2 linked regions of the Arabidopsis thaliana genome follow. The protein of the gene in region 1 interacts with the protein of each later gene in a pairwise test. Each region holds a gene or a part of one and is shown in the gene's direction. Other genes may lie near its edges.

Region 1 (8,013 bases):
CATAGGTCAGGCCTGTCTATTACTTTCTGCGGGAACCAAGGGTAAACGGTTTATGATGCCACATGCCAAAGGTATAGACTTCGACTGCATTCTGGCCGCTTCTATGGCTCACCATTGATAATCAGAACCTCTCATACGTTTGATTCATTATGTCACAGCGATGATTCAGCAACCACGTGTACCTTCTTCTGGGTTGATGCCTGCCAGTGATGTCCTGATTCGGGCCAAAGAGGTTTGATGAATCGCTCTACACACTTAATATTCTGGAAATTTAAATTTGATCGAGATTTTCTCTTTCTGCTTTGCTTCTACCTACTTTCCTATATTATATCTCTGATAATTTGGACAGAAATTTCTCACTTAAGCATTTGGTTCAGAATTTCATGACCTAATTAGGTGAAGAATCTGAGTTTGATTACTTCATCTTCCTCATTCCTGTTATGCAATTGCAGGTCATTACAAATAGGGATATACTTGTGGAACTACTATCAAAGCATACTGGGAATGTGAGTGCGAAATATTTTCATAACTTTGTGGAGAAATTTGATAGCTGATTAAAACATTCTTATATGTCATATAGTCCGTGGAGACTGTAGCTAACGTAATGAGAAGGCCATATTACATGGATGCACCAAAAGCTAAAGAATTTGGAGTCATTGACAGGGTAAGTTTGGGCACTGTAATTTTTTGATGTTGCTTTTCATATGCACATACTAAAAGATTAAAGGTTACATATCGTCACCAAGCAAAGTAACCTTTCCAGTCAAGTTTCCCTCTCTTCTACCTTTTCCTGATGTTTGCCTGTGCGTAATGATGAATTTGTTTTCATACTTTTCCAAGTTAAAGCTTTAAAGATGGTCTCATAATCATTGGCAGATTCTTTGGCGCGGTCAAGAAAAGATTATTGCGGACGTGGTTCCTTCAGAGGAATTCGACAAGAATGCAGGGATTAAAAGCGTAGTATGAGTCTAGTCTTAAGTTTTCTTGGCCTAAATCATACTGTAAGTGACACGCGTAACTCTCCATTGCTACTCTAGGCATGAATCCATCTTATTCATGGAAATCTCTGATGAAGAAATACAAATGCATCTAACTTACCTGCAAATCATTAGAACGCACGCTTGTATTTACAATGATTTGTATTTTGCTTGAACTCTACTCATTTGCAGGCGTCATGGAGAAGAACAAATAGACTGACCAAAATCACATTGGCCGCAGACTGCCTTGTTTCAAATCACTTGGTAAATGTGAACATGCGATTAGGAGAATCATACTTAAAGGATCTTGAAATATTATGATAAAATTGTAATGTGTTTGTTCGTTAGCAATAGTAAATACAATCTTCAACTCTCTTCTTCACCCTTCCGATTTGAATATTGAACAGTTTCTTACTTGTTTCCATTTGGCTTCACTTCTTTTTTGGTCAGCTTTTAAGAAAACTACATCATCAATTTGACCAGATTGCTTAGCAATAACTTGATTTTAAAATAGATATAAGATACATTGTGAAAAAAATAAAAAGGATACAAAACCAAAAACGCTCCGATGCCGGGAATCGAACCCGGGTCTCCTGGGTGAAAGCCAGATATCCTAACCGCTGGACGACATCGGATTTGTTGTTGGGTATTGACTGTGATAATATTTAATACAATACATGTGTTATTAAATTAAAGCTGTTTCTTCGCCCAAAAGCCAAACTCTGTTTCCTATTTATGTCTTCTGAGATCTCTCGTAGACTCTTACAGTGATTAACTCAGGCTGCTAAGGGAGATGGCAACGGCGATGGCGGAGGATACGAGCTTCGAGGGAGACCAACTAGCTTCCATGACTACTGATGACATCGGTAGAGCTTCTCGTCTCTTAGCCAACGAGATTCGCATCCTCAAGGTCACCACCCTCTCTCTCTTCTCTCTATATTTTTAATCTGCTGGCTACTTGGAACTAGTATATTTCTTCATTCCAAGCTCACTATTACCTTAATTTGATTAGCGACACTTTGATTAGTTTTGAAGAAGATGGATGATGTCTGAGAGCAACGATAACTCTTGTTTCATATCACACTTTTTATCAGTCAAAGATATCGAAATTCACTCAAAGTACTTGTTTTTATAGTTAGATAATTATAGAATATGATTAGAAGACATTTATATTTACTGGTCTTTTGCTCATTGGATGAAATTCACCAGAATTTTTTGATGTCTTTTTCTCTCAAATACGTTGATTTGTTGTAGGAAGAATCGCAGAGGACAAACCTTGATTTGGAATCAGTGAAGGAGAAAATAAAGGAGAACCAGGAGAAGATTAAGCTTAACAAACAGCTTCCTTACTTAGTTGGCAATATCGTTGAGGTACTTTCACTGACTCTTCTCTTGGGGTGTTTCACATTCCTTATATGGGGCTTTTGGTTTTGGTATGTATAACATTCCTTTTTGTTGAGTGACACAATTGTACTATGCTTTTGATTACTAGTAGTGTTAGCCTGATGAATTCCTTGAATCTTTGCCACAGTAGTTCAGACATTTTACCATCAAATTTTTTTTTGTGTAATGATGGAATTAGGATTTGATCTATTATCCGTGCTTTCTAGATTCTTGAGATGAGTCCAGAGGATGATGCAGAGGAAGATGGAGCGAATATCGATCTGGACTCTCAGAGGAAGGGAAAGTGTGTCGTTCTAAAAACATCAACTCGTCAGGTGAAGTTTTAGACTCTTATATCACCGTTAGAGAGATTTTCAGAACTAGTGGGGAACAAACTCTGACTACTAGTGTAGTGTTTGTATAATGATCTCATGGGTTAATTATACTTTTCAGACCATCTTCCTCCCTGTTGTTGGACTTGTTGATCCAGATACATTGAAGCCTGGGGACTTAGTTGGAGTTAACAAAGATAGTTACTTGATTCTGGATACTTTACCTTCTGAGTATGATTCAAGAGTAAAAGCAATGGAGGTCGACGAAAAACCTACTGAAGACTACAATGATATAGGGGGACTAGAAAAACAGGCTAGTTGATGACTCTCCTGTTTCATGTTTCCTTAGTTTTTAGTATCTCTGGTACAATATTTGATGTTGGTGACTCTCCTGTTTTTGTAATTAAACAGATACAAGAACTTGTTGAAGCCATTGTGTTGCCAATGACTCATAAAGAGCAGTTCGAAAAGTTGGGTATCCGTCCACCAAAAGGTGTACTCTTGTATGGTCCTCCTGGAACCGGAAAGACGTTGATGGCCCGAGCTTGTGCAGCACAGACAAATGCAACTTTCCTCAAACTAGCAGGGCCACAACTTGTTCAGGTATGAAAACTAGAGTAAACGTAACTGATTTTGATCTTGTTCCTGTGATATTTTTTGAACCAAACGGAAAGTAACTTTTTTTAGACTTATGTATAGATGTTCATCGGAGATGGAGCAAAACTTGTCCGTGATGCTTTCCTGCTTGCAAAAGAGAAATCCCCTTGTATTATATTCATAGATGAGATTGACGCAATAGGGACAAAGCGTTTTGATAGGTACTCTATCTAGAGTCATGTCATAACTATTTTATTTTCTTTCTGATGACTAATGCTGACTTTTAATTGGCTTACAGCGAAGTTAGTGGAGACCGTGAGGTACAAAGGACAATGTTGGAGCTGCTCAACCAGCTTGATGGATTCAGCAGCGATGATCGCATTAAGGTTGTTACCCCTCATATTACCCCTGCAAATGTCTATTTATTTAGTGAAAGGCATGAAAAACTCATAATTTTACAAACTTAGGTTATTGCAGCGACAAATCGTGCTGATATACTAGATCCTGCCCTTATGCGTTCTGGTCGTTTGGATCGTAAAATCGAGTTTCCGCACCCCACTGAAGAAGCTAGAGGCAGGATCTTACAGGTTCTGTATCCTTTACTGCATCTTTTCTTTTTTCTTTCTTTATTTCTATGTCGTTTTAAAGCTAAAATTAGAGAGCTTCATGCACTTAGACAAGTCTTGCTGTGATTTTCTATGTATTCCGCGGATAACTTATCTTGGGTACTGTTTTGTTTTTGCATAATGTTGGCGATGGGGTTACAGATACATTCAAGGAAAATGAATGTGAATGCAGACGTCAATTTTGAAGAGCTTGCTCGGTCAACGGATGATTTCAATGGAGCTCAACTCAAAGCAGTGTGTGTTGAAGCGGGTATGCTTGCCCTGCGCCGGGATGCAACTGAGGTATGCATATATCTTTCGTCTTAGTGGTTGTAACTTTAGGATGTGGATGATATGGAGGAAATGGTAAATGTGTGTGCAGGTGAACCATGAGGATTTCAATGAAGGTATAATTCAAGTACAAGCCAAGAAGAAAGCAAGCTTGAATTACTACGCCTAAGTCCTCTTTTATGTACACTCTTCTTTCTCCTCTTTACATTATAGAAAACTTCAAGTTGTAGTCTCAACTTTTGAATCTAGAACCCCTTCAAAGTGTGGTTATAATTATAATAGATATCAGCTTGACATATTTTGCTTATTATTTTCTAATGATGGTCTGATGGATGAATAGAATCGAAACTAGAAATTTTCCTTGTGGAACTCAAACTTGGTCGTAGTTTTCCTAGAGAAATCTTGAGCCAGTCTCTTTAACTCTCCTATGATGCATGTATTACCACAGTAGAAAACCCCTACCAACAAAATAGAAAAAGGAAAATCAGTTACTTACTAGAAAGATTCTACAATAGCTATGGAATTGTTGTAATAGCTAGTGACATACCAACTCGTTGATTGACGTGGTTGACTGCGACGTGCTTGAAGACACTACGCCAATTGGGTCGAGCGAAATGGGTTCGGACCCGAGTGCCCGATACGATGTCAATGCCGCTCTTGGCGTGGTGCAATGACTGCAACATGGTGATTAGTGCTGACCTCGCATCTCCTTCCTCATACACGCTAGTGCAGTAATTATGTAGTTCAATCATCCCCTCACTATCATACTCAGCTACCTCGTTCATGACCTCACTGAACCATTCCAATGATCCTTGCTCTCTTGTTACCCAATAAAAATAAGCTCGTTTTGTGGCAACATAGTTTTTTATGTGTTGGTTAGTGCCTCGTTCGATGGAATTCTGGTTCTTGATGTTGTTAAGGACGTCCCTGATTATGCTGATTAATGGCGTCGCTCCGATCCCTAGACCTACTAGAAGCAATACATCGTAGTTCCGGTAATCTTGTGCGGGTGCACCATATGGACCATCGATTAACAGCCTCGGAAACCTTTCCATGTAAAATTCATTAGAAAAATTGCTCATGTTTTTAAATCATGATTACTCAAATTATAAATCAAAAACTGTACCTGGTTATATTGTTGGCTTGACCTATGTCAGCTATGAAGAGCCCACTTTGACTTGTTGAGGGAAGTTGACAAACCTATGGTTTTGTAATTAAACAAATCAAGTACATATATCATTAATTCACAAATGTTACTCTTGAAAAATAGTAACCTTGGAATATAAGGATTTGAGTTGCGATGTCCAGTCTCCGAGTGTGCGGATATGAACGCTGAGGTAATCATCCCCGGAAGCCGAAGTAATTGAAAACGGATGCCTACACAAAATTGAAAATAGGTTAATAATAAAGTTAAAATCTTATGCTTGTACAAGTTCAGTGGCATTGTATTGTTGATATACCATTGTAATGGTGAGACGTCAGAACAGTTAATATATATGTACTGTCCACTTGTGTACTTGAAACCTTTAGGCTTCGACATGTAAAGTGAAAGTACATTTCCTGGATATACTGCCACCTGAAAATCAGTTTGATGTCAATAGAAATTAAAAAAGTGAAATATATCCTTGATTTTTGTCTATAATAACAAGAATGCATGTATATTATTGTGAACAGATCATAGAAATACCTTCAAAACCTTGACAGCCTTGGCACCTGGTCTAAATGCACGAATCAATCGTTCAAATGCATATAGTAGTACGGGAACTGCCAGATACATCCACGTCTGTCCAAAGGTAATAATAACAAAGGATGCTTTCATCAACAAAAATTATCATATGATCTTTTCGTCTGATTTTCTGAACACTCCGTGATTAATCAAGACGCAAGAAAAAATATATGTATACGTACCGTCTTGTGGTACCATTCCTTTGAGAGATAAACAAAATAGCCATGCACGATGAGAAGAACATAAACGATGACAAACAAATGGTGTGAGTACCAAAATGCGTTGAAACCAGTCAATCGTTTCAACGATTTTGGTAGGTTTGCCCGGTTTCGTCTGAACCACGACTGCGCCAAGACGTAGGCCACTAACATAAGAACCACCATGGTAACACCGGTCCACCCGTCTGTCCCTTTCATGAACCATCCATAATTTTCAGGCCTCTCGTCTCCGAAAAACTTTTTCATTGGCTCAAACTCTACATTTTTTGCATGCAGCAAACGCGGGAAATCACATGCCAGGTGAGATATAGCGTGCAAGCCTATTCCAACCGCGATCCCAAATGCAACAACCTGCATGGACATAAAGATTAAGCATAACCAAATTATATTGTTACAAAAGTCGTATATCTTTTTGTATTCTTCTACAACAACAAAAAAAACATGGATTATTGGACAATGAAAATTATATAATGTGTATAGATATGATATATATTAATATACATAATTTACCTTGTGGAAATTGATATTGTCATCAAATGGAACAACAGACCCAATAAGCTTGGACTTGGTCCTTAGCCAAGTGATAGTGTTCCTACAAACGGGCAAGAGAATGAGAGCCATGTTGAATTTCAAGGTCTCTGCACTGCCTTTGGCCACGGTAACACAGTAGCCCATCACCTCGAACACGGTTTTGCGTTTATACTGGAGAAATTTCCAAGTGAAGAGAGTGATGCAAATGGATATCCACAATGTTAACACCCAAATCCTTTTCCAATTTTCCAAGAAGAAGTATGATATATTCATAGCAAATCTTTTCACCGGGTTTCGATCTTTTGTTGGTATGAGCTTCTGGCTCAACATCTTGTTGAGTGCACGTTTGTTCGCGGAAGATGGACTGTTATTTGATTGGCTAGGAACTTGGAGAAGCAATGTTTCCAAGTTATGTAACTGCAAGTAAACCATTGCTCAACTATATTTTCAAACACATTGAAATATATAACAAATACATTTACAACTGATTTTAAGGATTTAACCATGTTTTTAATAGTGATGTTAAACAAGTGTAACCATTAGATAGTAGACAACGAACCTCAATATATCCGAGGTTGTCGCGATCTAGTTCTTCCATGATCAAGGCAGCATATTCATCTACATTTTCTTTAATCTTTGATAGCTTGTTAGCCGAAGCACTTAAAGCAATTATCTATAATTCAGCCGAAACAACTTAGATTGTAACATTTTTATATTAGGACCATAACGAAATTGAGATCAATTTAATAAGGTATACCTCACCTCCTTAACCTCATCTCCTGTAATACGTCCGTCCAAATTTTTGTCCACCCTTATATACATAAACACAAAGAGATAACTAATCAACTTACCATATTTTATGACAAATGATAATCATGCATTATACTTGTCAAAATACTATAAATAAATATAAAATCATGCTTACATATCAAAAAAGATTTGCAGCCTATCATCAAAACTATTGCCTGTGATCTGCTCCCAGAATTCAAACAATTCAGTTTTGGTGATTGACGATGACGTAGTCCCTCTCCTTCGGACCAACGCCTCAAAAAGCTCGTTCACAAATTCGCTAGATTCAACCATTCCTATTTAGTTGAAATAATTCTTTTAAAATTCAGTTAAAAAAAAAGTAATAAAAAAACAAAACTGTATATGAGAAACAAGTTGAGTATTGCAGTGAAATTACAGAGAGAAAAAAATGAAACCAAAAAAGGTATATTATTTAAAGTTTTTTTGTTTACCTATGCAATGTCCAAATTTGGATTTAGGGAGTTTCCCTTCAACGGCCAACTTATCAAACCTCATTGCAACCTCATCCCAGCCTCTACCAACGGCGTCGTTTTTGGCAATGAA
Region 2 (8,503 bases), on another chromosome or scaffold:
ATTTTATATAAAACATGTACTTACTAGTTTCGATATATAGTTAGTTTGATGACATGTATAGAAATAGTTTACGTAGTATTTATAATATATCCAAATTATGAACTCGAAATAAAATTCTTAAGAGAACGATAGTAAATCTAACTTTAGAATATATATCCATTTTTATTTTTTAATTACCACATTTAAATACAGATTCTAACTAAATTTGAACCTAATTAAATGTACATTCAACATTTGAAACAGACAAAAATGTGAAAGCAAATGCCTAAAGGTGCGTCTTTTGGAGAATTTCTTATTTTTCAAAGATGAATCAGCAATGAGTTTAAAGCCATAAAGTTTGACTCGTTAATGCAATCATATGAATAAAAAAGCCATTTATCAATGTGGAGCGATGATTCAGTAAAATGTCCGGTCCTAGCTGGTAATGGATTTCGTCTCATTTTTGCAACAATTTTTTTTATAACAAATTAAAGCTTTTAGTTTTCCTCTTTATTTATTTGATCCTTTTGACAGTGCTTTAGTGGGATTAGTACGTGGCGCCTCTTCGATCTTCAGAAGCAAACATGTAAACCAGATTTCATTTTTTTTTGCTCTAGTTTATGATATTTTTCCTAGTTCGAAAATATTATATGCATGTGTGTATATAACTATATATTGATAGTCTGTGAGGTGAAGGATTGAGCAAGTTAAAACTTATATAATGCAATGCTCTTTCGAATTCAGCATTCGTCAGTCTTATTTGACGCGAAGTCGAATCTATTTTGGAACACTAGTCAGATGTACATTATTGAGGACCCATATGAGAACTACACGGATTAAAAAAAAAAAAAAAAGTCTTGCATTAACTTTGAATTTTGGTGAATCATCACATCATATAAAATTATAAATACACTATCACCGGTTCTTTTTACCCGTTTCCATGTTAAACATGGGGTTCATAATATTCATATATGTACACTATTGTCTTGTAAATTTTTGGTATGGTACTTGATCGTGTTTCATGCATTTATAATCAGTCGCATATCATGTACAATAGTCTCCGCTGTTTGGGAACAAAAAATATCTAGTTGTCTAGTTTATGGACGAATTACAAGCAACGTAAAAATGATCGTAAAGTCAAACTAGATGTTGTTTACTTGTTTTGTTCTTATACACACAAACAATTAAATATGCTTTTTTTTGGGAAAAAAACGCTTTGTTTACGCTTGTGATTAGGTGCATCTGGTATAACAAAAGCCTTCGATAGTCTACGGTCATTTTTTGTGTGCATAAATGTAATAGAATATATATATAAAATCGTTGTGATGACAACAAAACAGTGTCATAATCGATTAAAGTAAACTGTCATTTACGATTCTAGAGATCGTAAAATTATCAACGATAGCAATGCCAATAATGTTATGTAACCATATATACTGGAGTATTTGTTTTGAGTAATATTAAAGATAATTATGTTCAGCGGAAAAAAACTAATGTAATTAACTAAAATCAGATAATTGTTAATGATGAAAATAAGATCTGGATAAGATTTTGAGGGGTCGACATCATTAGTCTCCTCTAATTGTTGTTCGAAAATTAATGCTCAACTTTTAATGTATGTACTAATTGATTATAAACATTATATTAGTGTTTGAAATCACCTTAAATCGATAGATAGAAAAATCATTAAAGTTTTTTCACGTCTAGCATTTATCAACAACACACATCTGCAACATTTTAGCCGCTCCACAATGTAGTCCGTTCCGGTTTTTATACATGGTTCCGGTTTCATCCAAATTTTTACAGTTATTAATAGTTTATGAATACTTGAACAAAATTAAACTATAGTAAAAAAAAAAAAAAGTTTCTCTAAGATTTTGCTATTGTTCGATTAACTTTTCCACTCTGATTCTTTGGATTGGGTTCTTAACAGAAAAACAAATACGTGATGGTAATCCTCTCTCAGTTTTTACCATCGGAAAATGAATTTTTATGATGTCGTCAAATATCGAACATGCGGTAATAATCAGAGACATGCATTGCTATTAGTATTTCGTTTCCCCACCTATATTTTGGTCAAAAGCAAACGTGTGGGGGTATACATACCTTTTCTTTCATGTAATGATACATGCTTTTTATTTGTATATAAATATAATTATATTATATGATATCTAGAGTATCTAAATTTATTCAGTGATCTTCTTAATCAAAGGTTAATCATATCAAAACAACATTAGTGAACTGGATTGGGACCACTAATGAGTTGAAATAAGTTACCAGCTATTTCTTCTAATATCTGATAAATACTACTATTAGTCATAAGAACAACAATTAGAATTAATAATATTCGTAACCATAATTGAGAGTTGACTTGTAAAGAAAAAAAAAAGTTATCTGATGTACTCAGGAACTATTGCAAAAATACTATAAGAGCACAATTTAAAGATTGATTAGATTTTTTAAAAATGAGATAATGGAGAATCTAATGATGCAGAAATTGTTGTTCCCACACGGACATACAATATGATAGTGTATTACTTTTTTGATTATAATCCGTTGGAAGAAGATTTTATCAAAACATCAAAAATTTAAGACTTGTAAGACCTCTAAGAAAATAATTTAATATCATTGTTCAACATGTATATAGTGTAAGTACTAAGTACACCCTGTAACCCTATTAGTAATCTTGACTACCTTTTTTTAATAGCAAATTTGGTTGTAAATTTGCTATATTAATAATGGGCTTGGTATAGATTTTATTTTAGAAGGTCCATTACTTTCAATTGGAGTAAATGAACCGACTTTAAAGACTTTTAACTCAGGCCTTAATGTTACACAATAGAATAACATTATGACCCGGCCCAAATAAGTCGTCAGATCCAGTAAGCGTGCGACCAAACTATTTGTTTCTTACCATCGATATAAACTTTAATGATTTTATACAAATTGAATAACATATTTATACAAATTGAATAATGATATGGATAATCCCTTTTATCTAAACAAAAAGAAGTGGATAATCCACATCATATTTGTCTGTAAATTATTTGTTTTAGTTATCTACTGATAAAAACATTGTTTATCTATATTATTTTATATTATGTAGAGCCATTATCTCTTACGATTGAGCATTTTTAATCTTCTGACAGAAAAAATGCTAAGAATTAAAAGGACAAAGAAAAAAGAATGTGCAATTATCATGTGGTTGATTAGAGGTTTGAGAATGATTGGTGCTACCAGAAACTTAGGTGGAGAAAAGGATAAAAACCGAAATTAGACAAAAGGTTAATTTCGTCATTTCAACAGATTCTATTACCACTTCTTGTTTTGTTTTTCCATACTTTACGGACAAGAACGAGAGAAGCTCTCGCTTACGTGGTTTCTACACTGTTTTTGACGAACCCACCAAGCTCGAGTAGATCGGTATTAGATCCATCTTAGGTTTCTCTAATTTCTCTCAATTCACTCCAAAATTTTGATTATTTCTTCTTTCTGGCTTGTCAATTTTAGTCATTTGTAATCCTTGCTTTTGCGATCGGAATCGTAAAAATCCGATCTTTCTTTTAGATTCGTTTTGTTTTTGATTCCAAATCGGAAAAATGGGTAAAGTAGCTGTTGGAGCGACTGTTGTTTGCACGGCGGCGGTTTGTGCGGTGGCTGTTTTGGTTGTTCGACGACGGATGCAGAGCTCAGGGAAGTGGGGACGTGTTTTGGCTATCCTCAAGGCCTTTGAAGAGGATTGTGCGACTCCGATCTCGAAACTGAGACAAGTGGCTGATGCTATGACCGTTGAGATGCATGCTGGTCTTGCATCCGACGGTGGTAGCAAACTCAAGATGCTTATCAGCTACGTTGATAATCTTCCTTCCGGGTAATGTTTTCTAATTGGATTCAAATTCTGTTGCTTTTCATTGAAATTTTCAATCTTTGTCATATTAGAAGATAGAATATTTCTATCTCCTAATATGTCATCCATTCAATGTTGTTGATTGTGTAATATGGATTACGTTATGAAATGAGTTTCGTCCTGATTTGGAGATGTAATTGCATTGTCTCTTAATGGTCAAAATTGATCGATTAGATAGGATTATTGATCTACTGTTTCAGAATCAGTGAATCTTTTGGAATCCAGATCATGTCCCACTGAATCATTGTCTCATTTTCTTATAGGTTTTGTTGTATCACTTCTTGATTTTGTAGATTTGTTTTCATGGATTTGAGAGTTATTGCCCTTTTGATTAAGGTTTAATACATAGTTACATTAAGGCAGACAATGACAGTGATGTGAATATGATTTGTCTGAAAAGTCTGTCCACAGACATCACTTTTGTCTTATGGACTTCGTGATTAGATGGCATGATGGCATTGATTATGTTATATTACGTAGAACATTTTGGTGCGGTTTCATTTTCGCTTTAATATTGTTAGCCAATGCGGCAATGCGTCTAGTTTCATGTTGTAGGTCTGTCTTACATTTACTACCATTAATATAACAGGGATGAAAAGGGTCTCTTTTATGCATTGGACCTAGGGGGGACAAACTTCCGTGTCATGCGTGTGCTTCTTGGCGGGAAGCAAGAGCGTGTTGTTAAACAAGAATTCGAAGAAGTTTCGATTCCTCCTCATTTGATGACTGGTGGTTCAGATGTCAGTTTTCTGTTCTTCAATTTGTCATGTTTAGTCTTAGATGATCTTTGTGTAACAAGATTCTTTTGCGTTCTTTTGATGGATTCAGGAGTTGTTCAATTTTATAGCTGAAGCTCTTGCGAAGTTTGTCGCTACAGAATGCGAAGACTTTCATCTTCCAGAAGGTAGACAGAGGGAATTAGGTTTCACTTTCTCGTTTCCTGTTAAGCAGACTTCTCTGTCCTCTGGTAGTCTCATCAAATGGACAAAAGGCTTTTCCATCGAAGAAGCAGTTAAGCTCGATTTTCGTTCAACTATTTCACTTAAAATGTTTAGTTTTCGCCTTTGCCTTAATCTTTGTTTAACCTGTTGCATAGGTTGGACAAGATGTTGTTGGAGCACTTAATAAGGCTCTGGAAAGAGTTGGTCTTGACATGCGAATCGCAGCACTTGTGAGTTCTCTTTCGCCTTATGCTCTCTAGTGAATCCCTTTTGTCATGTGTTTGTTGATTTGTTTTTGACGTTTTACAGGTTAATGATACCGTTGGAACACTAGCCGGTGGTAGATACTATAACCCGGATGTTGTTGCTGCTGTTATTTTAGGCACTGGGACAAACGCAGCCTATGTTGAGCGTGCAACCGCGATCCCTAAATGGCATGGTCTGCTTCCAAAATCAGGAGAAATGGTTATAAACATGGAATGGGGAAACTTCAGGTCATCACATCTTCCATTAACCGAGTTTGATCACACGCTGGATTTCGAGAGTCTGAATCCAGGCGAACAGGTACGAGTTTTTAAACCCCGGTTTGTTGTTACAAAATGCCAATACCTACGAGGTGTCTCGAGAATGAGTTTCTATGTGGAATTTCATTTTGCAGATTCTTGAGAAAATCATTTCCGGTATGTACTTGGGAGAGATTTTGCGAAGAGTTCTTCTAAAGATGGCTGAAGATGCTGCTTTCTTTGGCGATACAGTCCCATCTAAGCTGAGAATACCATTCATCATTAGGTACTCTTTACTAAGTTTCATCCTTTGAGGAAGGGCTTTAGTCTAAAGTTCAACAATCATTTGCAGGACTCCTCACATGTCGGCTATGCACAACGACACTTCTCCAGACTTGAAGATTGTTGGGAGCAAGATTAAGGATATATTGGAGGTCCCTACAACTTCTCTGAAAATGAGAAAAGTTGTGATCAGTCTCTGCAACATCATAGCAACCCGAGGAGCTCGTCTCTCTGCTGCTGGAATCTATGGTATTCTGAAGAAACTGGGAAGAGATACTACTAAAGACGAGGAGGTGCAGAAATCGGTTATAGCCATGGATGGTGGATTGTTTGAGCATTACACTCAGTTTAGTGAGTGTATGGAGAGCTCACTAAAAGAGTTGCTTGGAGATGAAGCTTCAGGAAGCGTTGAAGTCACTCACTCCAATGATGGATCAGGCATTGGAGCTGCGCTTCTTGCTGCTTCTCACTCTCTCTACCTTGAAGACTCTTAAAACCTACCCAAAGAGCGCCATTTTTCGGTAATTTACTGAAAGCTTTTCGCTATCAGAAAACGCCTAAGCCAAGTTCTAAGGCGTCATAAAAGAAAGCATTCCATGTTTTTACTCTTCCCCAAGACTTTCTTTGTAGCAAATAAGTTTCCTTGGGAGAAATATTTGTTTTCATGTTCTTCAAAAATAAAAGACTCAGTTCTTCAGATTCTGGGATTTTATTATAACCAGATATGTTGTAAAAACTACAAATTCAAAGCTCACTTCACTGGAGTTCTGAGTATATAAAGATTTCATTTTTCCTCATCATTGAGTACACATAAAACTACTGTGTATGAATCTCATATGCGTACACAAAAGTTTACTTCAAATCATGTTTTACCAACAAATGGGTACACAAAAGATCAAATCTTTACTTCATAACAACATAAAATCTCCAACAGATGCATTATCAGAAAGTGGAACAGAACCTAAATCAAGAGTCAGATGATTGAACAGAGACATTGTTGAGACGTTCAAGAGCCAAGAGAAGAGCTTGAGTACCAAGATCACCTTCACCATGAGCCTTAAGAGACAAGTAAAGCTGTTGAGCAAGAGCTAAACCAGGCAAAGCCAAACCCATCCTCTGACATTCATTCAAACAAATCCCTAAATCTTTCACAAAATGATTCACATAAAAACCAGGATCAAAATCCCTCTTCAGAATCCTATCTCCATACAAATCTATAGACTTAGAACCAGCAGCACCAGTAGAAATCGCTTCAAGAAACTTCTTAACATCAAGTCCAGCTTTATGAGCATAAATCAAACCTTCCACAAGTCCTAACATAGTCGAAGCAATAGTTATCTGATTAGCCAATTTCGCAAATTGACCTTTCCCACTTGTTCCCATGAAGTTGACTTTACCCATTAACGAAAACAACGGATCTAAACGTTTCACGGTGGTTTCATCACCTCCGGCGAATATAGATAGCTTCCCATTCTTAGCTCCTAAATCTCCACCTGAGACAGGAGCGTCTATTGAGAAACAATTCTTAAAGGAAGCAGCTTTAGCTATCTCCTCTGCTAAAGAAGGCTCAGAAGTAGTCATATCAACGAGAACACCTCCTTGACGGAGACCAGATAAAGCTCCGGACTTTGGATCGAGAAGGACGTGACGGACATCGGAAGGATAACCAACGATGGTGAAAACGACGTCGGATTGTTCAGCGACTGAGTTTGGTGAGTCGGCGACGTTAGCACCCATGTCGATGAGAGTTTGAGCTTTGGAGATGGTTCGATTGAAGACGGTGACTGTGTAACCGGCTTTGATTAAGTGTCCACACATTGATCGGCCCATGACTCCGGTTCCGATCCATCCGATTTTGGTGTTTGATGGAGTGATTATATCCGAGGAGATTGTTGAGGAAGCCATTGAGCGACGGAGGAAGAAGGAGGAGACGACGGAGGGAGAGGGAAATCGACGGAGGAGAAGTGGCATTGTTTCCTGTGGTGATTGATGGATTCTAGTAGTTATCGAAAGTTGAGTGGTATACCATCGTAATTTTGAGTTTCTTCGGAGGTGTTTTTCGTCAAAGTACTTTAACGACGTCGGGTTTGTAATCCTGGTTTAGAAAATTGATTTGGTTCGGTTAAACTTGGTTTATTAGGCTCAAGCGTGCTAGTGGTGAAGAAGATAGATAATCAATGGGCATTTAACAAGGCAAGCATGAGAAAATAAATGATAGATGTTTTATAACCTTTCATGTTTTGAGAAAATTTAGAAGAAAAAGAAAGACATGGTTTGGGTTTGGGATTTGATCCAGAATTTGGTTTGGGATTTGATCCAGTATTTGGTTTGGGTTTGGGATTTGATCCAGTATTTGGTTTGGGAATGGATTATATCACGTATATGGATCATCGTAGTTGTTCTCTCTGTCTCCATTGTCTTGAGATATTTGTGGGTTCTCGAGAATTGTCCTAAAACACAACCTCAACATTGTAAGAATATTTCTCTATCATCTTTTTCATGATCTATGCTTTAAGATACTTTTCTCTATTTTATAATGCTTGTTGTTGTTGTTGCATGTTGTATACTTATATGTATACCATCCAAAGCAGTGGAACAACCCCAAGAATCAACTTGCACTGAAGTGGTCGTTGGTGATTCAGTGGAGAAGCTCACACGAAGAATTATAGAAATAGAAGAGCAGCCTGGAAATGAGCGATTGGCGGTAAAGACTGTGGTTGAGAAGGTAAAGCCGAGTGTTGTGAAGGTGAAGCCCAGAAACTTTTGGTGTTTGTGTTAACTACGAGAGCATGACTTGACTAGTATGTCAAATAAACATTGGACTAACAAAATACTCGAATGATCACCAAAATAATTTTAGACTACTACAGTATATATAAAAAATGACTACG

What was found. Proteins that work in one complex are often made in the same cells at the same time.
Region 2: the proteins of RPT5B (region 1) and HXK1 interact in a two-hybrid assay, tested with the Arabidopsis thaliana proteins (one study listed by BioGRID).

The regions. Positions count from the first base shown.
Region 1 is NC_003070.9:2,933,016-2,941,028, reverse strand, and holds RPT5B (26S proteasome AAA-ATPase subunit RPT5B), read left to right. Parts: upstream 1-1,665; 5' UTR 1,666-1,770; coding exon 1,771-1,887; intron 1,888-2,231; coding exon 2,232-2,348; intron 2,349-2,587; coding exon 2,588-2,695; intron 2,696-2,813; coding exon 2,814-3,005; intron 3,006-3,103; coding exon 3,104-3,295; intron 3,296-3,391; coding exon 3,392-3,510; intron 3,511-3,587; coding exon 3,588-3,675; intron 3,676-3,756; coding exon 3,757-3,876; intron 3,877-4,056; coding exon 4,057-4,197; intron 4,198-4,276; coding exon 4,277-4,354; 3' UTR 4,355-4,501; downstream 4,502-8,013. Other genes in the region: AT1G09130 (ATP-dependent caseinolytic (Clp) protease/crotonase family protein), read left to right, coding at 1-71, 159-232, 453-506, 581-664, 877-957, 1,170-1,298; RBOHB (respiratory burst oxidase-like protein), read right to left, coding at 4,534-4,643, 4,733-5,232, 5,312-5,385, 5,460-5,562, 5,646-5,761, 5,873-5,968, 6,094-6,480, 6,640-7,077 and 4 more. UniProt on the Arabidopsis thaliana protein: The 26S proteasome is involved in the ATP-dependent degradation of ubiquitinated proteins. The regulatory (or ATPase) complex confers ATP dependency and substrate specificity to the 26S complex.
Region 2 is NC_003075.7:14,349,941-14,358,443, reverse strand, and holds HXK1 (hexokinase 1), read left to right. Parts: upstream 1-3,242; 5' UTR 3,243-3,578; coding exon 3,579-3,850; intron 3,851-4,475; coding exon 4,476-4,626; intron 4,627-4,714; coding exon 4,715-4,897; intron 4,898-4,982; coding exon 4,983-5,057; intron 5,058-5,136; coding exon 5,137-5,391; intron 5,392-5,485; coding exon 5,486-5,616; intron 5,617-5,682; coding exon 5,683-6,106; 3' UTR 6,107-6,407; downstream 6,408-8,503. Other genes in the region: AT4G29120 (6-phosphogluconate dehydrogenase family protein), read right to left, coding at 6,579-7,583. UniProt on the Arabidopsis thaliana protein: Fructose and glucose phosphorylating enzyme. May be involved in the phosphorylation of glucose during the export from mitochondrion to cytosol. Acts as a sugar sensor which may regulate sugar-dependent gene repression or activation.